2 linked regions of the Rhinolophus ferrumequinum genome follow. The main gene of each other region encodes a partner of the protein of the gene in region 2 in a complex. Links are inferred from orthologs where the notes say so. Each region holds a gene or a part of one and is shown on either strand. Other genes may lie near its edges.

Region 1 (10,913 bases), on a different chromosome or scaffold from region 2:
AGGTATAGAGAACTCACCCCAGCAGTACCACCCCTAGAAAGTCCCCAGTCACCATACCCAGGAGGGAACTGTCACTGTAGGGACTTCAGGGAGCACAGTGCAGGAAGCGGGGCTGTGTTTAGTTGCCTATGTTTAGGACTGGATCTTTCCTATTTGGGGCACTAAGTATCCTCTATTCTATGGAATAATGGTGACCTTAAGAAGTGACATTCCCTGTTCATCAAGAAGAAAGCCCACTGTATGTCAGTCCCAGTTGTGTTTTAAACTCCACATCCCTCACATGAAGTTCTACACAGGGACTTGTTTTCCACTGGGGTCCAGAAAGGGCTGACGAGTGTAAATCCCTAAAACCTTTGTAGACCGGAACGTATCAGAGCACACACTGCTTCCACTCTTCCTTTTCCAAGCCTGAACTTAACTGTGATTGACTGTGACTGGCATTTCCCCAGTTAAAAATACACGCATATACTTTAATTTCTATCTTCAACTCCTCGCTGGTGTCTAAAGTCTTGTGGGAAAAAGTAGACCTAAAGCATTATTTCTTTAGTCTCTAGGGAACCTGACCAGACACATCAGTCCCAGGGGTCTGACCAGCTCAGCACACCTGGCTGAAACCTATGGCCCTGCAGAAAGCTGCTGAGGGAGGTCATGGGTCATGGGCTCCATCTGACCCCTTCCGCCGGTGCAGGCCTGCTCACTGTCTGAGTCCTTTTCAGATGCAGCAGCCATGTCTCCAGAGCCAGCAGTCTAGGGCCCCTCCCCTTTCTTATGTGGTTGTGGTGACGACCAGAGGCCTGGCTTCCCAGCCCCCTCCACACTCAGGCATTGGAAAGGGGCAGCACATTCCCCTGAAACGCCCAGTGGCCTGTGGACCTATGCGTCAGCTCTGGTCCCCTCCTCTGGCCTCCAGAGCCAGCAGGACAAGGAGCTCTTCATACAGTTACTGTCCAAACCCTTCAGGCACGTCCCCAAGACAGTGAACAACTCAAGGAGCAGCAATGTTCATTTTTATTGCTTAGAGTAGGAGCAGAATGTGTGCACCAGGGACAGGTGCATCTGGAAAGCAATTAAAAGAAATAAACAAGTTAGAGCCACTTAGCTATCCAAACAATGCTCAAGAAGCTTTCTCTATTTGTCTCCTGGGGCCAGTACACTGAGGGGACTCCACCAAGGTGGGCTCACCCATCTAAAGCTTAGGAACTCTACTGGGAGGGGGGTGCAAATGAGACGCAGTCAGTGTGGCCCAGCTTGTCATTTGTCTTCTATGCGTCCTGGCAGCTGGACTTCACCATGGAGATCTTGCTCAGCCAGGGAACGCTGTATATCTGGAAAGAGCAGAATGCTTTCTGCAGAGGGAACACAGAGGGACGGTCAGTTAGGGTTATAGCAGAAAAGGAAATCGTCCAACAGGAGATCTCAGACATGCAGGTGAAGAACTGTGGCTGTTGGCTGGGACTCTCAGCCCCTCCCCCGCCCAGCCCCAGACTACTAAACAGGACTCAACGGTGGCCTGCGGGTCACCCCTCCCATCACTCCAAGTACAGGAGGTGGCATGCCGCACACCCCTCCCCCACCGGATTCCACACTGCCTAACCCCAGCACAGCCATTTAAGCAGCAGCCCATGCAAGGCCACACAGCCAAGAGCTAGTTCTTCCACCTGCAGGGAGCCAGAACTAAGACAGGTCCAGAAGAACAGAGCCCGGTCCTGGAATCCGCCCCGAAAGTGGCAGGTATTTAGGCAGGTAACAAGAGGGCGGAGCTCTCCCCAGAGGCTAAGAGCTCCAAATAACCAGCCAAGCCCAGTGACAGGCTGCTGTTCTGTGAACAGGACAGCGTGGAAGGGTCTCTCCCCTTACAGGCCTCTCATTCCCTCTAATCTGTTCCAGTGGCTGAGGATGGGATTAAAGCGCCCTTTCTGCCCCACTGATTACTCCATCCAGCGGGCAACAATCCTGCCACATGGGGCCCCAAGGCCCCAGCTCAGACTGGCTTATAAATTCAAATTAGGCATCTGCACATCACTCACCATCCCCGCCACACCCCCCAACATTCACACATCCCCCCAAGCCAGAACACTCACTCATGACACGTCCAACCGACACACACCCACCGCTCTGCCCTGCATGCCTGGCCCCTCGCCCACCTCAGGCCCATACCTTCATCAGGCGTGGCTGGTCATGGAAGGGGCAGCTGGCCAAATTGGGCTGGGACTTGGTACACGTGGTTCGGCCGATCTCTACGTCCAAGAAGTAGTTCATCCCAGCCACGACCTACGCACAGGAAGAGTAGGTATGGTTTTCAGTACCTGCCCATGTGACACAGGCACAGTTACCTTCATGCTATTGCACTTCAGGCCAGCATCAATGGCTGCCAGAGCTGGCACCCAGGAGGTACCTGGCCCGTCCTGACTGCTGCCCAACCACTGTGCTCCAGGCCCTCCTTGTAACTTGTTGACAGTGCAGCTCTGACAAGGTGTGCCACACAGCCTCATGGGAAGACACGCAGGAAAATGGAAGGTGGAAGCCAGACACTAAAATTTTGTTAACTGGGCCCTGGAGCTGAAGGTGCATCTATGGAGAATCAGCCAGGGTGTCAGCTGTGCCAGCATCAGGATCCAAGTCAGAGACTAAGACAAAGTGACAGCTCTGCCTGAGTCAAGGCTGGATCCACCTCAGGAAAATTCACATGATAATGACCTTGAAGCTACAGTCCAGTTAGTAGAGTGGAGCCCATCGAGACGCCTATTTCATGTACCAGGTTTTACACACACACACACACACACACACACACACACACACACGGATTTTTGGGCCCATAAAAGATGGCTGTTAAGAACTGTTTGTAACGGGAACATTTCTGAAGTGTATCACACCTTATGATTACACACATTTGAGATGACAGAAGTGAAGCCTGTTCTCACATAGGCATCCTCCAGACACACCTCCTGAAAACTCAGATAACCTTGGGAAGAAGAGCCTAAGCTCTGCAGAGTGGACCCCAAGCAAGTCCTGTGATCCCTCTGGTGTCAGTTTTCCACATGGGCTGGTGACCTGTGCCACCAAGCTAGTGTCACACTGGAGGGGAGCAGGCTGGTGGGGACCTCGTGAGCAGGGCATGCATGTCCCATCCAAAGGGGATAGTGTCAGCCGACAGCTGCAGGAGAAATGGGTCTCCTGCATCAAAACAGATCTTGACCCACTGTCTGAAGTTTCAAGAGGCGGATAAGGGCCATGAACGCTGGCATGAAGCACCATACTTTGTTGCTATATGACTATGTTCTGCTCCCCACTGGGAGGCAGGCCAGCTGGTCTAAATTCTAGCCTTCCTTCAAGGACAAGCACAAGGCCCAGTAGCCCTTCCTAACGCTCCCTCCCTTCCTCTTCTGGACCCTGATGACTGCCCTCCTTTTCTGCCCAGAACCTCAGGACAGGCTGGTAGAGGCAGGGTCAGGTGTGGTCCTCTCTATCCCAGCAGGCACTTAACTGCCCCAGGTTGCTGGGGGTGGGGCACCCATTTCAGGGTGGGGAGTGAGACTTTACAGTCCAGAGCCTATTCCATGGGTATGACCTGCAGAATGAAGCAGCTCTAGGGGCCTGTCCTCCAAGATCTCTAGGCAGCTTTGGATTCTTATGTAAGACCCTCTGCTGTGGCATCTACCTGGATACCACAGGCCAGATTCTGGAAGCCTCTGTGTTTGCTGATATCCTCAGGGTGAGCAGGGGATCAATGAGGGCTCCGCCGCAGGGAGGATGTTTGGAGTGCCTGCTGGCCCAAAATATCATGGCAAATGGAGGACCTGGAGGTCGGTTTAGTGGCACCTGCTGAGAGGAGACTTGGAGAAGAACACACTTCTGCATGACTGGTATCTCATCCTGAAAAACTGCAGGCCAACCCAAACTGAGTGCCAATCTGCAGGGACTGGCTGGACCCTTCACAAATGCCAAGGTCACGAAACAGACACACAGGCTGCTCCAGGGTAAAAGAGGCTGCAGCACATGACTCTGGAGTGTCCTTGGCCATAAAGGACATTGGTGGGACAATCAGGGACATCTGAATAAGGTCTGTGCATTAGATAATTGTGTCAGTGTTGATTCCTGATTTTCAAACTGGTACTGTGATTACGTAAGAAATGCCCTTGTTTTTAGGAAAATATACTCTCAAAAGGTTCAGAGAAATAAATGCATATATGTACCCATGCACACGTGGGGAAGGAGGGAGGCAGATAAAGCAAACAGGGCAAAATTTTAACATTTGAGAGTGAAGGATCTATAGGGATTCTATGTGCTAATTTTGCAACTGCTCTGTAAGTCTCATATTATGCCAGAAGAAAACATAAAAAGGAAACTAGTGCTTAAAAAAAATCATTCAAATGGCAAAGCCAGGAAGGCAGCCAGGCTGCCTGTGAGGTCTGTTTTTCCTTTGCCTGTGGTCATTTAGTTGTGAGCTCACACTGAGCCCCCAGTCCTATGACGCTGGGGTCGGGACTAAGCGGGTTGGACAGGAGCCCTGACCCTAACCCAAGTCCTTCTTGTTGGGGCTGATGCTTTAAAACAGAAATGAAGGGCAGAGCACTAACCAGGAGTACCTGGGACCCACTGGCACTCCTAGTGACAAGTTTGCGAGGGGCTTGTCAGCAAACAGAGGAGTCCGGGATCTGGCATGGGCGACAGGAAAGACCTGGAAAAGTCTGACTGGCTCAGAAGCCTGGGCATGTGTGTCTTGGCCCATCTGCAGGGCCTCCAGGGGCTTGGAGGGTCATCCTTTAGCAAGGGGGACCGACAGGAGCGCGGCTGGTGACGTCAAGAAGGCCACGCCCTCCCGGGGCGCAGGATCCCGCATCCCGGTGGCCCTACCTGCCCAGCTGCCCCCGCACCCTACCCCTGGGACTCACCTGCTTTTGGGCGCGTACCACCCGCATGGCGCGGCTGTGGAAGGCGTCGTTGCTTGCCTTGTTGTACTCACTCAGGGCGAAGTTGAGAGCCTGCTGCACGCCCTCCTCGTTCACGTCCGCATCCAGCAGGCCGCCCACTCGGTGAAGCTTGCTGGGGCTCGCGCCGACCGTGGGGCTCATAGCCAGTGCTAGGGCCAGGGTCAGTGCAGCCAGCAGGAGCAGCGGGGTGCGCAGGGACCCGGCCATGGTTGGATTGGAGGAGACGCGAGCTAGGTCAGGAAGACAGAAGCCCAGGGGCACGATCGGAAGGCCGCGAGCACCAACCCCGGGCCTAGGCTTTTATTTCCCCGGGCCCGCCCTATTGCCCCGCCCCCCGGCTCCTCCTTTTCCGCCTCGTCCCATCCCCCTCACCTAGATCTGCGCTCCCCTTGGGCCCTCCGCCTTTCCAGTCCCGTGGTCCCGCTTCTCCTGCCAGGGCCTTTCCACTTCTCTAAGTTGCCCCTCCACCCAGCTCCTTCCTCTCAGTCCTGGCCCTCCGGCTAGAATCCCACCTCTCTCCACGCAGCGTTTCCCTCCCCTAAGCCCTGCCCCTTCCACTCAGTCCTGGCCTTCTTCCTACCCTGATCCATTCCAGCTGCTCCCCACCAGCCCCAGACTTCCTCTAGTGTGCTCCCAAGCCCAGCTCACCCTAGTTTCATAGGTGTCACCCCTCTGAAAGCCTTGTAACCCCTGAAGTCTAATCCCTTCTTTTACAAGGGAAAAATAGCTGTCTTGTCCTGTGAGCAGCTGGTCGAATTCTAGGGGTCGCCAGAGTAGGCATAGGACTTCAAAGGCTGGGGAAGACCCCGTCAGTACTTTGTACTGGGGAATGTCTTTGCCAAAAATAAGTGAATTGATTACCTTCTATTTGGTAAAAAATTCAGGTTCTCTTTTTCACAATTCATTTATTTTTTCAACCAACAAAGCTTTCTTGGGCTTCTCCCTGGCCAGGAAGTATAGAATCAGTATGTAGGTGACAAGTGGGCAAGTGATCCCTGGACTTGGCATTGTAGAGGGGCTGCCATATAGAGACGAAATGCGAACCCATGTGTAACTTTCCATTTTCTAGTAGACACATTGAGGAAAGTAAAAAGAAACATGTGACAGTAGATTTCAGATTTTTTATTTGATATATTAACCTAAAAAAAAAATCAAGGTGAGAGGCAACAAGTATTGATTTGTGCTCCAAAAGAATAGCTATTCTAGAAGCACTGTTTTAGGCAGAAACCTCAAATAGTGTTCCTATTAGACAGTAAAGGCAAGAGGTATTTATGATAAAAGGAAGGGGAGTTATTTGACTAGAAGGAAGAAATTTCTATGGGTGTTAATAAGCTAAGAAAGGAATTTCTACAGATGCAGATAAGCTAATATAGTGATGCTTATTCTAAAGACTGTCTTTGATTTTCAGTTCTAGTCATAACCTCTGCTTCCCTGTTTCTTGTTTGTTTTTTGCAAACAGAAATTGGTTCAGATATTTTTATTACAGTCAAATGATAAGTTTAACTTATGTTAATATATGGAAAAATTAAATGTATTAGAAGAAAAATAATTTTAAATTACAATGCTAGGTTGACATTTAGTAAAAATGTGAAGTAGGAATAAAGCAATTGCAATTGTACTACAGTATATATGATAACACTCTTATTAACGTCTAATGTATATTTGATAGAGATCTATGTCTAGATAAAAAATTATTCTGTTTTTAAATTTTTTTTGAAGACAGAAAAGTCATCAGGAAAATTACTTATCAATTATTATCATATAGTTATCTATTGACTATCCTTATCAGCATGGCACTGTGGTAGTATACACATAAATGAAATCTTAGCCCAAGGGAATTCACATTGTGAGGTATGAAGGTTAAGTCTTATTTACAGTGACAATAACACAAGTTTTTGTTTTTGTTTTCAATTTTATACCATTTGAAATCACAATTTAACAGTAAAATGAGGGGGAGACAGTCTGATTGGATACGGTCTTTAAAACAACTTAGTTATGCTCGTTCTAGGTAGCCCTAAATAAGACTTGAATTTACCTTTGTGCTCCCCTGTTTTGATCCCAAAAAAGAAAATACCTGCCAAGAAGGATTCCTTGTGGTTAATTGGGCCCAATTCAAAACTGGAGTCTAGCAGCCATTGTGGCAGAAGCCTCTTATACACGCTGTATATCAAATGAAAGCTACAGGCTGAGCTGTCAGCCTGTGCACTGTGCTTCTACATTATGAATCAACCCTTATAATAGAGCACCTGGGATTGGAATTCAACCAATAGATCTGAGACTTTCCCTGTCCAATCAAGCTGGGCAGCTATACCCTTATTTGTATCTTTACTAACTGATCTGAGTTGCTCCATTCTGACCAATCAGGTCAGTGCTATTTGGATCAATCAAACTGTGATGTTTGGAGCCCTTATTTGCCTGGCAATGGACCAATCAGGGACTGGTGGCAGGCATTCTTCTTCGTATAAGCCACCTGCACCTCTGTCTTGTTGGAGCACACAATTGAGTATCCGTGTAAGAGTGTGTTTCCCCAGCTGGAGCTGCAACAACAGAGCAGAACTGTGACAATGGAGCCTTAGCACCGAGGCTGCCTCACCTTGGCTACCTCTCCTGAGTTGTTTCACCACCCTGCTGCTCCTCAGCTATGCTATATCACAATTGAGCTGTTTTCACTGAATAAAGTCTCTCTCCCATCACCGCACCCCAAATTGAGGACTCCTGTTGGCATTCAATTGGCATCGATGACCTTTGGTTGGCACCTGTTAACTTTGCAAACAGTTGGCTCGAATACAGTGCTGCTATAGGCATAGTCCAAAGATTATTTTGCCCAGTATTAACAGTCCACAGGTTTGAGGGGTAAGACCTTCAAGGTAGCTCCTCTGGGATGGCAGCTTTGACACCATTTTGAAGTGACTCAGTTTGTATAATATTTTCAAACCCAGTATATCTAAAATATTATTTAAACATGTATAAGCAACTGTTAATAGTTATTTTACTTTCTTCTGTGTCCGCTAACTCTATGGAATCCTGTATGTGTATTCTACACTTAGAGCAGTTGTCAATTCAGACGGTCCTCATTTTAAGTTCTCCATGGCCAAGTGTGGCGGGTGGCTGTGGTATTGCACAGCCCAGTTTTAGGATGTTTCTATGTGTATGTGTGTGGGGGTGCAGGGCAGTGATCAATAATTAAGATAGGGATTTTGTTGGAGGTAAAATAGAAGTGGTGAAAGAGAAAGATGGGTGTCACTGGTCATAGGTGAGGGAGGCTTGTTTGAGAAGACACCTATAAGCTGACATGTAAAGGACAAGAAGTTCTGCCGAGACCAGGGAAAGAGAGCTTCAGGTAGAGAGAACAGCCAGTGCAAAGGCCCTGAGATGGGGCTGGGATCACCTTTCTAGGAACAGAAAGCCACTGGAGGGTATTTAAGCAGGGAAGGGATATGACCCGGAATCTCAACCAGCAGCTGTGTGGACAATAAACTGTTGATGGGGGCCGGGGGAGAAGGTGCAGAGAGACCCATTCCAGGACGCTGCAGAGGGTAGGTGGGAGGGACACAGTGAAGGGAGCAGGCAGCGGACGGAATGTATGCCAAAGCACATGGGCTGCTCTTGCTTCTCCCCTCGGGGAGCCACATTACTGGCTCTGGTGCTGAGTCCATCGCTTGGAAAACATTCTCCATGTTTAAAAAAAAAAATCACCTAGAATGAGGTATAATGTACATAAACTAAAACACTCCATTTTAGGTGTCTAGACTGAAGAATTTTGGTAGATGTGTACACGAGTATCACCACTCCATCAAGGTCTAGAACATTTCCATTACCCCGGAAAGCTGCCTCATGCTTCTGTAGTCAGTCCCATGCCCACCTCTGGCTCTTGGCAATGCACACACCTGTCCCTGTCAATTTGGAGTTTTGCCTATTTTTGTACTTTCTGTAAATGGAATCACATGGTGTTAGCACATGTGTGTCTGGCTGCTTTCAATCAGCATCATTTTTGAGCTGTCCTTTAACTGTTTGTTCTCTTTCTCCCTGGTCTGAGACAACATGGTCAGCCAGGTGCCACGTGGGCTAACAGAGTCCTTAGCTCAGGACTGTGCAGGCCTGGGCTCAAATACTGCCCTGGGAGTGGAGAGGGAGAAAGGCCATTCTGAACAGACAGTTGGCTGCCTTTCTTCTCGAATCCCCACCCTCCACACCTGAAGGTGACCCTGTGGCAAATGACCTATGGTGAAAGTGATAGGTTTTGTCAGAAACACCAGGAGGCCTCCAGACCCTTGAAGCACACTCAGAAGGACTCTCTTAGGAGCAGTGGAAGCAATGGTCAGTCAGCATCAGCCCAGACCCACTGTGGTCCTAGGGCAGGAGCATCAGGAATAGAGGATGCCAGAGCAATATCAATGATGGACATTCATGTTCAGTGTTAGGGTATGAGAGCCTGTTTCTTGATGCATAGTTACAGATGTAGGGGTGTAATTAAAAATTTTCCTTCCTTCCCTTCTAGGTTCTTTGGCTGGTCCAATGATTAATTTGACGTAGACAGATTAACAGGAGAAAAGCAAATTTACTTTTGTACATGTAGGAGCCCTATAAAAATATGAGACTCAAAGGCAATTGAGGCTTCCATGCCATCCTGAGCTAAAGAACGGGAGAGGGGCCTGGGGCTTCAAAGGGGAAGAGGGCAACTCACAGAAAGATGGAAAGAGCAGATTTTGCTAATCAGAGGTTTGCCCTGCCACACAGAGAGATTCTGGTGCAGGCCCCTAACCAAATTCTATTAGGCAATTAGGGAAGAAGTAAGTTTTTCCTTAGCCTGCTGGGTCTTGGGGTGGTGTATCTGCTCCCCTTCACCCCTGACTCCACTGTGAGTTGGGAGCCTCTAGAAAGGTTGTAGTGCCCCACTATATGCAGCAGGGATGCACTGGCAGTGTGGTGAGGGAGAGGAGGTCTTCAATGCTTTCTTACTGAAATAGAAAAGAAGGGGAGATAAACACAGAAGGGAAAGGGAGGGTTGCCCCTGGCCAGATACTTCTGATCAGAGTGATTATCTCCAAAGGGTGGAAATTGGTTCTCATGTGGTTTCCCCACCCATGCTGAGTAAATGGGGCTCCAGTCTGAGGAAGGTAAGTTGTGCAGAGGATAAGCTGAGATATAAGGGATCCTTCCTTCTTGTGTCATTAGAAAGGAGGTACAGAGCACCCAAGTCACTGGAGCATGGTGGTAGCTGTGTGTTGGGGGGTGGCTTGAATTGTGACACTGCTGCTGTATTTTGATTATACTACCTATCATGATCCTCCATTGGGATGCTGGCACGTACTCATGGAGATGAAGTTGTCCTGATAAAATAACTAAAGTAATCCCAATATAGGGTGTCCATGGGAGCTACCAGAGCAAACTGCAGTACGGTCTATTAAGTTCAAGGCTAGGATGAGGCTGACATCTGCTCTGACCTTGGAGGAATGTAACAAATCTGGAGAGGTGAGCTATTTTGTTAACTGTAGTATCTGGGGTTCGGAATGGACAGAAATGAGCAAGCCCCAGTGGTGATGTGTAAACTCGGTTTAAAATGTTGGAATGGCCCACACCCCAATCTGTAGCCTAGAGCTTCATGGATCAGCTAGCAGAGACCAGAGAGAAACAGTGAACTCAGGATTGAGTCATGGGGCCTCCGGCACCCATGCACCATGGAGGATGGAGCACATCTGCCCAGGAGATGAGCGTGTTTCCTTCTGTCACATGAAGAGAAGACCATGTTCCCACAAGGCTGTGTATGTGACTTGTGAACTCATGATCTGAGTTAGTAGAGCGGGACGTTAGGTGGGAGGGTGACAGACGTTCTCTGTGATAAACAAATAATACTATATTTTAAGTGATACAATAATAAGTAAATGATCAAGCACATAAAACTTCACCTAAAGGGGCAAGTGGTCACATCAACTTGACCAACGGTTGAGATTCTGAACATTTGGACTTTGAGCAATTAAAACT
Region 2 (10,649 bases):
CTAAATGATCTTATAGGAGGAAGTGAGTTGATCTCTAAAATTACAACAAATATGAAGCAACTTGTTTCTCTCTCCTTTTGTATATGTTTGCATGTTAACTTAGACAATTTGCTTCAGTGAGCTCCAGATCCGCAGTAAGATTCATGAAGTTAGCATGGTGGGTTTGGGATTTGGGATGGGAACGGAGGAGCTGAGGCTTCCAGAAACCTGCTCAGAGATCTGTGGAATAACCTGTCCTCTGTTTTCTCTCCAGGGCAGAGAAGCAGATCGCCTCTGGCAGCCTAAGCTCCTCCAGACTGTGGGAACCTTCCTGGCCTTCTGTGGGCACTTATCCCATGGAGAAAGTAGGATAAGTTAATAGCAAACGCGATTTCTAGAATTGTCTCCAGTGCATAACAGGAGGGGAAGGAGGAGCCATGACAGAGCTGTGTAAGTGTGGGGACAGTCTCACCTGTCCCACATACGGGTAGGCATCTTCAGAGTCGATGCCCCGGTTCTTTTGCACGTACTGGAAGGCGTTGGTCATGTAGCCCCCTCCGCAGCCATCATTCTCAGACACACAATCCACCAGGTTCTGGGGACTCAGATTTAAGAGTTCGCCAGTTTTCTTCTTGAGCTGGCCCTCCAGGGCACCCACAGAGCTAAACGCCCAGCAGGAGCCACACTGACCCTGAGAGGCGGAACAGAGAAACTGTCAGTCACTGCAGGTGCCACTTTTTGTTTCTTCCCTCTACCTGGGTGATGAAGTTCCAGACAGTTTCGAAACTCCAGCACACACGTCCCCTTGGTTGTTCTTCATTTAACATTTGTTGCATTGTCCTTGCGCTGGTAACGATTACTACTGTTGTTACCATTCACTGTAGTGAAGCAGAGAATACTGCCTTTGCAACCCCTTCCTTACCCATGTGGCCTTGGGTAAGTTACTATACCTCTCTGTGCCTCAGTTTCCTTACCTGTAAAATGTGGATAATAATATACTTAATGGGATTAAAAAATTAATTCATGTCAAGGATTTATAAATTTCTGACACATAATAATCTCTTAAAAAGTGCAAGCTATTATTAGGGTTTGTTCAGCTAGAGTATAGATTTTTCTTTCCTGTTCTATTTTTTAAGATTGAAGAGTTCTTGAAGACACAGATTATGACTTGTTGTCTTGAATCTCTACTGGCTAGCACTACACCTGGTAGATTCTGGGGGGGGGGGAAACAGTTTTTGTTGAATGAGTGTTAAATCAGTAGTTCATCTGGTTGATACAATCAACGTTGTGAAGGCCATGGGAAAACTGGCATTCTCATGCTGGTAAGAATGTCAGAGTGTAAAACCTTTTTTGGAAAGGAGGCTCTGTGACCTAGCGATTTTAATTTGGGGATTTATTTTGCATAAATATTTGTACCTTTGCACAAAGGTGCTTATAGCACCACTATTTGTAAAAAAGAAAATGCATAAACAACCTACATGTACAAAGCTGGAGATGAGTTACGTAAATAATGGAATAGGCTATATTCTCTTAGCATGGGGAGAGGTACCGTCATTCCTTGCCCCCTCTTCCTGGGGCCCCCGTACCTTAAGAACAAAGCAGCAGCGAAGGAAGAGACCGTGCCAGTTTACCTACCCACACCCAGGAGACTGGAGGGTACCTGGTTTTTGACGGGAGTGACGTATCCCTTCTTTCGATAATCGATCGAAGCTGGGACTTTGCCTTCCCAGTCTGGGATGTAGAGGGTGTCGTTACTGCGGGAACGAGATGGGGGTACTTTGAGTCCAGTCATCTGCTGAACCACCTCTTCACTGGTCTGGGACAAAGAAGAAAGAGGCCAGGCCTAAGCAGCGACCTGAGGCCAACAGGGCAGGTAAGCCAGGTGTGGAGGCTCAACTCACCATGTCCCCCAAGTGGTTCATGGCCAGTTCATAGCTATGGACGCCAAGGGAGGCCTCAAGGTTATGGATGGAAATGTGCTTCAGGTTTTTTTCCCAAATTAAACGCCGAGAGGTTTCATCCACCTAAAGAGACCACAGTCAGTACTGGCCTACACTGCGTGCGGTATACAAAGTCACATGATGTAATACTGTGGAGGTTTTTAGGAGAAAAGATTCAAGTTCCAGGGATAGAGTTTACCGTCTAGTTGGGCAAATGACCACGGGATTATTAAGAGCGTGCAAAAAGAAACATGAACAAATAATTGAATGCAAAGCTCTGGAGAGATGGATAGAAAAGTTGCTTATGGATTATCAGCATTCATCTGAGAAATCGTCCCAAAGGAAAGAGAGAAGGCAGTTGTAACAAAAAGGAAGGATAGGACTTGATGGAGGGTAAGTCGAGGCGTAGGAATGAAAACCACATGTTAACAGTTAGGGGACGGGGGCAGGGTTGCTTGGCTGGGGTGGTGAAAGTATTTGGACAGAAGCAGGGAGCCTGGAGGTCTCAGGGTTCCCCCCCTCAGTGCTCCCCTCCGGGTCCTCGGCACCTTGCTATTATACTGCCTCCTGTAGGTCTTCTTCCACAGCTCCCATTGCGTGTCCAGTATCTCCTCGGGGGTTAGAGCAAAGCTCGCCAGGGGCAGCAGCAGAAGAACCTTGAGCCCCCACATCCTGGGAAGAGGACAATTAGAGGAGACTCTTCTATTTGCCAAGGAGTTCCTAGCCTGGCTTAGGATGAGGAGATAGCTACCTGGAGACATAGTCCCAGACAGGTGGTTCTTCACCTTTGGGAGCCATAGACTCCTCTGAGAAGCTAATAGTTTTGCAACCCACTATAAACCCTCTCACCAGAAAAATGCATGCACACACAGTCATTCTGGGGAGTTCCAGAACCTGAAGTGCAGAACCCCTTCCTCTGCTGTATGAGGCTTTATGAGGAAGGTAGACAGAGAACAGTGGTGGTCAGGAGGGGTCTGGGATTGGATGGGGTGCTGATATACCTGGTTCCTAGTCATTTGACCTAGGGAGACTCAGGGCACTCGCGCGTGCGTGCACGCACGCACACACACACACACACACACACACACACACACAACTTCCACAGACAACTAGAAACAGGGTAGAAAATGGACCATCAGCATGGGCTCAGCATTTGTCTCGGTGCCCCCAGCAGCCTTGGAAGAGACGGACAAGGTAAGTGCAAGGGGGATGAAGGAGGTTGGAGAACACACAGAGGAGAGATTTCCAGCTAAGTTCTGCACCCTGACCACTTCTGTCAGGCATTCTTCTCTTCAGTGGCTAAATTCTTTCACTTTTCCAGAGCTTAGCAGGAGTCGACAAGGGCAAAGTTGACCATATTTCCTATTTTCTAACTGAGAGAATGGATTTCCTGTTTCCTCAACATTCTTAGCAGTTCTTCTTTCTCTTCTGGTTCCCTCCTCAGGCAGGAAACTGTCCTAATCTCGACCAGCTGCTGTGGGAAGGTTTTTGGTGGTTTTTTTTTCTCTGACAACAAAAAATCTCTGTGACCGCCTCCCAGGCCAAAAAGCCTCAGAACCAAAGTTTGTTAAAAGAACATAAGACAGAAAAGCAACGTTCTATGACCATTAAATACACAGCTTTATAGAAGTTTGGTCTAGCGTCGCTCACTTCTTGCAGTGGCTTACTTATGTGCCCTCCATTTTAAGAACAATTTATAGTCTTGCATAACTTTTGAATTTATAGTCCATTTTTGTGTGCTCTTTGCAAACTGGCAAATAACCAGCAGGACATTTACTATTTGGATTGTTAGGGGCTTTGAGACGTCACAGATTAGGAAGTACTGAGCTACCGTCTCCCTGCACCACTCCACCTCCCCCCACCACAAGTTAACCCTTTTCGTACCTTTGGCCAAAACAGAAAACCCCACAAAGAGGTCCCCCTTTGAAGGATGGGTAAAGGATCCCCTGTACTCTTGGCTTTCACTAGTAACCACGTATACATACAAATCACAAATGCTTTAGAAGAAATCCTAAAAATTTCCAGGCAGATTGTATACGGCCAGGAAATGACCTAAGGGCATCATTTTCATCCACGCAGCCTTTTGAACCCCAAGTCACTACACCCCTAACACTTCTACGATGCAGAATTGGCAGGAACGAAAAGCTAAATGTACTAGGAAGTCGAAAAAACGTTACCTGCTGGCTGGGATCTGTTCTCTGGGCTCGTTTCTGCAGGGAACTGTGGATAATGTGAGCGGATGACTAGGGGTGCTGGATTTATTCCATTGGAATTGCGGAAGTCAGCTCCAGCTGTTGGTCGGAAAAATTGGATGGGAAAGAAGGGAGGGTAGAAATGCTGAGAAGGGGGCACGGGGGAGAGGAGGAGGTAGTGGATTTGCATGTTTCTGCATGGAGGGTTGCTTTTTTTTCAGTTTCACATTGCCTCTTTCTGAGGGCAGACCAAAAAATAGTAAAAAAAAAAAAATCCCCCAAATTACATTACTTAAGTTGGGGATTATCTTCTCTTTAGTAGCTAGAGGGACACACTTCTGGTCTCCCCCATCCTTCTTTATTAATTATATTGGGGGATCACATGTTTTCCTGATCTTTCCATCACCGTCTCTTTGAAACTTGTTTTGTATTTGTCTCTGACGTTCCCACCAGAGGAGAGGGAATAAACACAGAAGGCTAGGAAAGAGTCGTAAGGGAAGTCAGAGGTTCCAAAAGCATCTGTATTTTATAAGCTTGTTGGCTAAGTCGTTGCTGCTTCATGGAGGGTATTAGCTCTCCCAGCCAAACATGGTTTTGCTGAGGAAGCATGTGCCCAGAAGGTCCAGATGAAACCGGTTCTAAAAGTAACCCAAAGCAGTATTCCTGGGAATTTCTGACAGCACATGAATCAATGGCATAAGCACTGACAAGCTCACACGTGACATCCCTTACTAAGCTCTCAGGTGGTGGGATGCCTGATGAAGAGTGCCTGGCTGTTACTAAAACCCCCAGCCCAGGTCATCTGAGCTTCTCCACATACTTCCCACATACTTCCCCCAACACCCAGGCATGTGACAGATCATGAGTCTAGCTCAGTCCCCAAACCACACCCCCAAACTCCATTTTCTTCCATAACCAGATGTGGGGCAAGAGGAAAAGAGGGTCCTTGGAGCAGGAATACATGGGCTCTGGATTCAGTTTCTGGCAGGATTACACACGTATTCCTCAAGAACGCAGTTCTCTGCCTCTGGGTTTGAAGGTGTGCTGATGAACTATATGGTCCCAGAGGATTGCCAGGTCCGGACCTGAACAGTGTCGATTTCCCCGTCCCTAATTCCTTTTCAGCCAGAGAGGAGGACCTCCTGGAGGAAGGAATCCAGATGGCCACTGCTGATCTCAAATCCCAATTCTCCTCCGCTCTCCCAAGGATTCAGGTAATCCCCACCCCCACCCCATGGTCAGATGTCCCGACTGATTTTACTCAGAATGAGTCAGGGTCAGGAGGACAACCAAGGAATGCTGAGTGAGCCCTGTGATGCCTGATTCCTGAAATTATAGACACACTGTGTTTTATGTTTATATATTTGGAGCTCAGGCTATGGATTCAACTAGTTGTGGGTGTTTGTTGTTTATGAGCTGGAAAGGAATAATAAAGTCGCAATCAAGATGACACAACACAAAGCTTACAAAAGGAAAAAATATTTTGTTTTACAATACTTGCTACATGTCATTATTTTTGCCACTGTACAAAGGCCAACAGGAACAAAACAAAACAATCAAAAATAAAACCCTGAAGGAAAAGCAGAAAAAAAGCCCCCCAGAGCATCTTCTCCCTCCCCGCTCCAGAAGCCCTGTAATAACTGTACAATATTATAGTCCGGATCACATTTAAAAACAGGTGATTATTAAAAAAACAAGGATTTCATTGGAAACTCAACTTTTTGGTTTCTTACACTGTGATATAAATATATATGTATACTGTATGTGTGCACATAGAATAAAAAAATAAACTGTCTCCTTTCCCACTCCACGGCCTGGCACCAGACTGGAGACAAAGGGAGGGAAAGCCCGTAGTGACATCTCAGCCTCTGCAGGCCACCCGTGCTCCTTAGTCCACTATGGCTACATTTAATGTCTTCTCCTTATTAATTCAGTCCTGCATTGAAGATACTGGCCTGAGCCAATGAAGAAAAAAAGGCTGATACACATGACTGTTACCTGAGGACGACGGGTGACAGTAGGAAGCTGTGCCCCCACTGATATGGCTGTAGTTAGTGACTAAGTGACCCTGTCGGGATGGGCGGCCAGGCCCCATCTAGCACATGGTTTATGACACTTGCGCCATCAAGCACATCCAATATCAAGACTGGAGAGGGAGCAAAGAGGAAAGAACTACAGGCCCAGAAGAGACCTAAGTCTCAATTTCTTGCCAGACTGGATACTCTGAGAATGGGATGAAGAGGCCACTTTGCAAGGCTTGGTATTTGGTATAAACTCCAGCAGTGTTTTCACTGGGCCAGCTAATCCAAGAAGTTGAGTTTCCATGCAGAAATAACCTCCACAGAACACCCACAGGTGATTCTGACAGAAATATGCAGCATTATCCTTATGACCAAGTAGGGGATTTCTGAAAATGTTTCTCTTGCCAGCCTATTTCCGTAGTTTGCAGATCTTCCATATAAGGCGAGAGCACCAAAAGCGGGAATGACCCAGCTTTATCACTAAATATGCTTGATGAGACCAAACAGATCAACAGAAGACTTTACATATCTGCTTACAGTTGCATATTGGCTGGATATCGATGGAAGTGCAGCAAAATCATTTATTGAAATACTCTTTGGCTGCAATACTAAGTGGAAAATACCTGGAAGATTTAACTCCTTAGGACTCTTTGAAAAAACAGAGAAAAACAAAGATAAAATCTGGGACAAATTTTGCATAACTCCCTAATAGGGAGAAAGACACACACACAGACACACACACACACACCACACACAGACACACTTTCTCTCCTCTCTTGCTTCCTCATTCAGTTTCTTTCCAGAGTAATTGCTCACAAGCAGCAGAAAGAAAATTTGCTCCCGTCCTAAAGCCCCACATACACCTACCACGTTTCATGTCCTCACATACGAGGACAGTTCTCCTTTTCCCCACCTTAGTCAGAATTTCTTTCCAAAAACGAACCATAGAATCCAAGGCAAACGGTGGACGTCAAGTTCTCGAACCTGCCCTTGACCTTAGCACAATCATTTCTGCACAGATCCCTGGTCATGAGACCTAGGCAAGGCATTCCTAACCTCACCCAGCCTCAGTTTCTCAGAGGGTCCCCCAAGTCTAGAGGATTCAACCCCATGTCATCTACAAAGTCTCTCAGAGAGGCGGGACGGAAAGGGGAAGGCCAGAAGTGAAAGGGGGTACACCTTAGGGGTGAGGGAAGGGAAGGGAGAGGAACTTTTATTTTGTTTACAAAAAGAGTTGCTTTTGAAAAACAAACGGTGACTTTTTTCCCCCACCCCTTATCCTCACCCCAATAGTTCTATTCTGAGAAGGAGGGAAACATAGTGAGATCAGGAAACTCCTCGCTGTTGTAGCTGCTGCCCTGGTCTCCCAGCATGGACAGCATCTCCTGAAAAGAGAAGAGCAAGTCTGGGTCACACCCCGGGATCCCTTCCGTGTGCCGAGCTCCTCCCCACATGCCTGCGCCCCCATCCCTGGCCCAGAGCTCCTGCTCAGCCCTCTTTCCTCCCGGCGAGTCTGACTCCTGGCGATGACAACCTTTTCTCCTAGTCCCTTCTGCCTTCCTCCTACAGTCCCACATTTTCCCCCTTTTCTAGTCCTCAGTACTTTCAAAAGGAGAAAAATCTGCCTGCCACATTTCATGTAACCCCCTAGAGGTACTTACGGAGTATCTTTCATCCTATTTGTTTTCTACCAAAACTCATTTTGCCATCTTTCAACCTGTGCTTTAAACTATCTCTTCCTTTGTGCTAAGATTATTCCATTCAGTCTTGCAGTCCCCTCAGGATGTATGTAAATGGACCTTTAGAATCAGTACGTTTATTATACACAAGCTACTGTACAGTGGGAATGGGCTAAAACTAATTCCATGTCTTCGCAAGTGGTCTCGTTAGAGGCTGTGCATCACACTAAGTTCACAGTCTTTCCAATTAATGACATTTCTGCCACTGTTCCCACTCCGGCTTCCCCCACACCCCAGTCACGCCCGCTCCATGCATGCTTCCTCTCTGTCTCTCCTCCCTGACCCTTTCTCTCCCAGTTCCTGATTTTCGGAGCTCTTCTCATCCTCTCACCTGGAAGACCTCAGGCTGGCCGGGTTGCTGTGTTGACGGCTGTTGAACGTGTTGTTCATTAGAGCTGGACCGATGGTGAGGCTGCTGGCCCTGCCACTGTGGCCAGACTCCCACCCCCTCTGCTGTCCGTGTCTGGAACTGTCCTGCGGTCTGCCCAGGCTGCTCAGGAGCTATGAGGAGGAAGAAACTTCAGTCTAACTCCAGTGGAGAGGAAAACCTAGACATAACATGCAAGTGATTCATTTCACCTGGAACCGTCCTCCCTTCTCTCTGCCAGTCAATGCCTCTTTTAAAACCCAGCCTAAGCTAATTTTTCTTCTCTAGGTGGCCTTTCCAAAGAGTTCTTTGCTCATGTTAGATTAAATTCACCTATTATGAAATTTGTATACCTCCATGCTTTTTGTTATACGTGTGAAAGTCATTTTCATGTGGCTAGGTTTTAAATTCCAGATGGACTGTCATCTTGCATTTCTCCACAATTAGCTCAGTGCATCCAGGACACAAGCAAACTGTTGTATTAAACTACCAAACTCTTTCTCTTTAGGGATGTGATTTTCTTGTTACCTCCTTCTGGTCTGAACTCACCAAAGCTGGACCCACGACTGGTGAGACCAGGGTAAGCAGCAGCGCCAGGTGACGCGGTGGGAGCACCGGGGAGGGATATGGGGCTAAAGGAGGACGGAGTCTGAAAGCTGCCCACACCAAACTGGGAAGAGCGGTTCTTGGCTGTAGCCTGCGTGGCCACCTGCTAGAAGAGAGAAAGGAACAGAGAAGAACACATGGAACGTTAACACGACTGCACGTGCCTCTCCTAGGAGAGTCGCGCCCCCTGTCAATCACTGGGTTCCTGAGCCAGCTCCCCACCCCCTCCCTACTGCATATTTCTGCCAATTAACTCCCAATCTCTCTGGACACTATTTTTCAGTTGTGATCAAGTACAAAAAGAACTATGGTATTAATAAAAGTATACATTTAGAGTTGTGTGAGAACTGAAAGAAAATGATTTAAATAAAAGCATTTTATAAATTGTAAAGTTATATAGAAACTGGAGGCATGAATAACAGTATAGTATCACATATGGAGAAAAAACACTTTGCAACATTTTGTTCTTCAGTCTATATCACACCCATTTGTTCCTAATGATGCTTTTTGGGGTAACTAACCATTTTTCTCACCATAATACTAATGCATGTGTATTCCAGACTATTTGGAAAGTGAAGGAAAAGAAAAAGAAAAAAATCACTCATAATTCTACCACCAAAGACCCACAGTTAAAATTTTTGGATAATTTCTCCAGTTTTTATTTTCTTGTGCATTTTTTTTTATATACAATTGAGATTATTTTCCATGTAATTCTGGAGCCTACTTTTGGTTTCGGCTTTTTTATTAAAAATATTCCTATTTAACTATTTACATTTATATTATTACTATGTATATAATACATAATACATACTATAGTTATATGTATTATATGTGTTACATCTATTATATATTACTAACATAAATATATATAAATATATGAAAGAATATTAGTGTTAGGCTTAACATTATATACACATATACACATATATATTATAAGGACTTTTCAACACATATATATTTTGTAAACAGACACTACTATGCATAAATTCCTAATTAATTTTCTTTTGTTCCTGTATTTTGTAGTCCTAACAAAAGTGGAAACTTCTTTAAATTTACTCCAAAACAAATCTGAAAATTGAACCTGTTCTAGATGTTCTGTGTGAGCAATCTAATTTGAAGTGAACATGTGAAGACCATAGACTTTGAGATTTTTATCTAGTTGCTCCCCACAAAGAAAAAACTGGAAAGCAGGCAGTCGAGGCTGAGGAGAAGGTGCCTAAGATAGACAAGAATAACTTCACATACGGAAAAAAGTCCAACCAATCAAACAAAAAACAATACACAGGCGAGAGAGAGATGAGAAACTTTACCTGGGCAGAGAAGCCTGGGCGGGTGCTAGGGGTCCACGTTGGGGCTGCTCCCTGGGTGGGGTTGGAGTGGCGGGAAATCTGGGCCAACATCTGCCCTGCAGAGGCTGGTGGCTGGACGATGGTTACAGGAGGTGCCAGAGCACTATTTCTAGGAGTGAACAAACAGTAAGGTAAAGGATTAAAAGGACGCGTTTATCACAGACTCTAGGAACACAGGCCAATCTAGCACTCTCCTTAGGTTCCCTTGACTTCCCGGGGGTTCAGGAAAACTTGATAGCAGAATTTGGAGAAAACGAGGAAGACTGACAGTCACACACTCATTGGGACACACAGAGATGGAACCTGGAGCATGGCAACAGGACAGATGTGGCAATAGGACAGGAGGAAGAAAAACAGCTTGTCTCATCCTAGGCCCTGCAAGTTCCACTGCTTTGTAGGCAAGAATAAAACCTGGATTCAGCAACTGAATCCCTCAGTTGCCCTGTCAAGCAGCAC

Evidence for each region.
Region 1: the proteins of CTSK (region 2) and cystatin-C are in contact, whole or in part, in a crystal structure (PDB 8V57), measured with the Mus musculus proteins. The link is inferred for Rhinolophus ferrumequinum from reciprocal best matches to the Homo sapiens genes CTSK and CST3. Residues at the interface, in NP_031828.2 of Mus musculus: Asn132, Gln133, Gly134, Gln135, Cys136, Gly137, Cys139, Trp140, Glu173, Asn174, Tyr175, Cys177, Gly178, Gly179, Gly180, Tyr181, Met182, Ser248, Ala251, Ser252, Gln257, Phe258, Val274, Asn275, His276, Ala277, Ser297, Trp298, Ser301, Trp302; in NP_034106.2 of Mus musculus: Pro27, Arg28, Met29, Leu30, Gly31, Ala32, Pro33, Gln75, Leu76, Val77, Ala78, Val80, Asn81, Tyr122, Pro125, Trp126, Lys127, Thr133.

The regions. Positions count from the first base shown.
Region 1 is NC_046306.1:44,115,890-44,126,802, forward strand, and holds cystatin-C, read right to left. Parts: upstream 5,255-10,913; 5' UTR 5,139-5,254; coding exon 4,893-5,138; intron 2,272-4,892; coding exon 2,158-2,271; intron 1,347-2,157; coding exon 1,263-1,346; 3' UTR 991-1,262; downstream 1-990. UniProt on the Homo sapiens protein: As an inhibitor of cysteine proteinases, this protein is thought to serve an important physiological role as a local regulator of this enzyme activity.
Region 2 is NC_046305.1:50,975,531-50,986,179, forward strand, and holds the start of CTSK (cathepsin K), read right to left. Parts: upstream 4,252-10,649; 5' UTR 4,097-4,251; intron 2,592-4,096; 5' UTR 2,591-2,591; coding exon 2,468-2,590; intron 2,004-2,467; coding exon 1,881-2,003; intron 1,796-1,880; coding exon 1,640-1,795; intron 671-1,639; coding exon 452-670; intron 1-451. Other genes in the region: ARNT (aryl hydrocarbon receptor nuclear translocator), read right to left, coding at 7,428-7,517, 8,203-8,372, 8,788-8,950, 10,155-10,302. UniProt on the Homo sapiens protein: Thiol protease involved in osteoclastic bone resorption and may participate partially in the disorder of bone remodeling. Displays potent endoprotease activity against fibrinogen at acid pH. May play an important role in extracellular matrix degradation.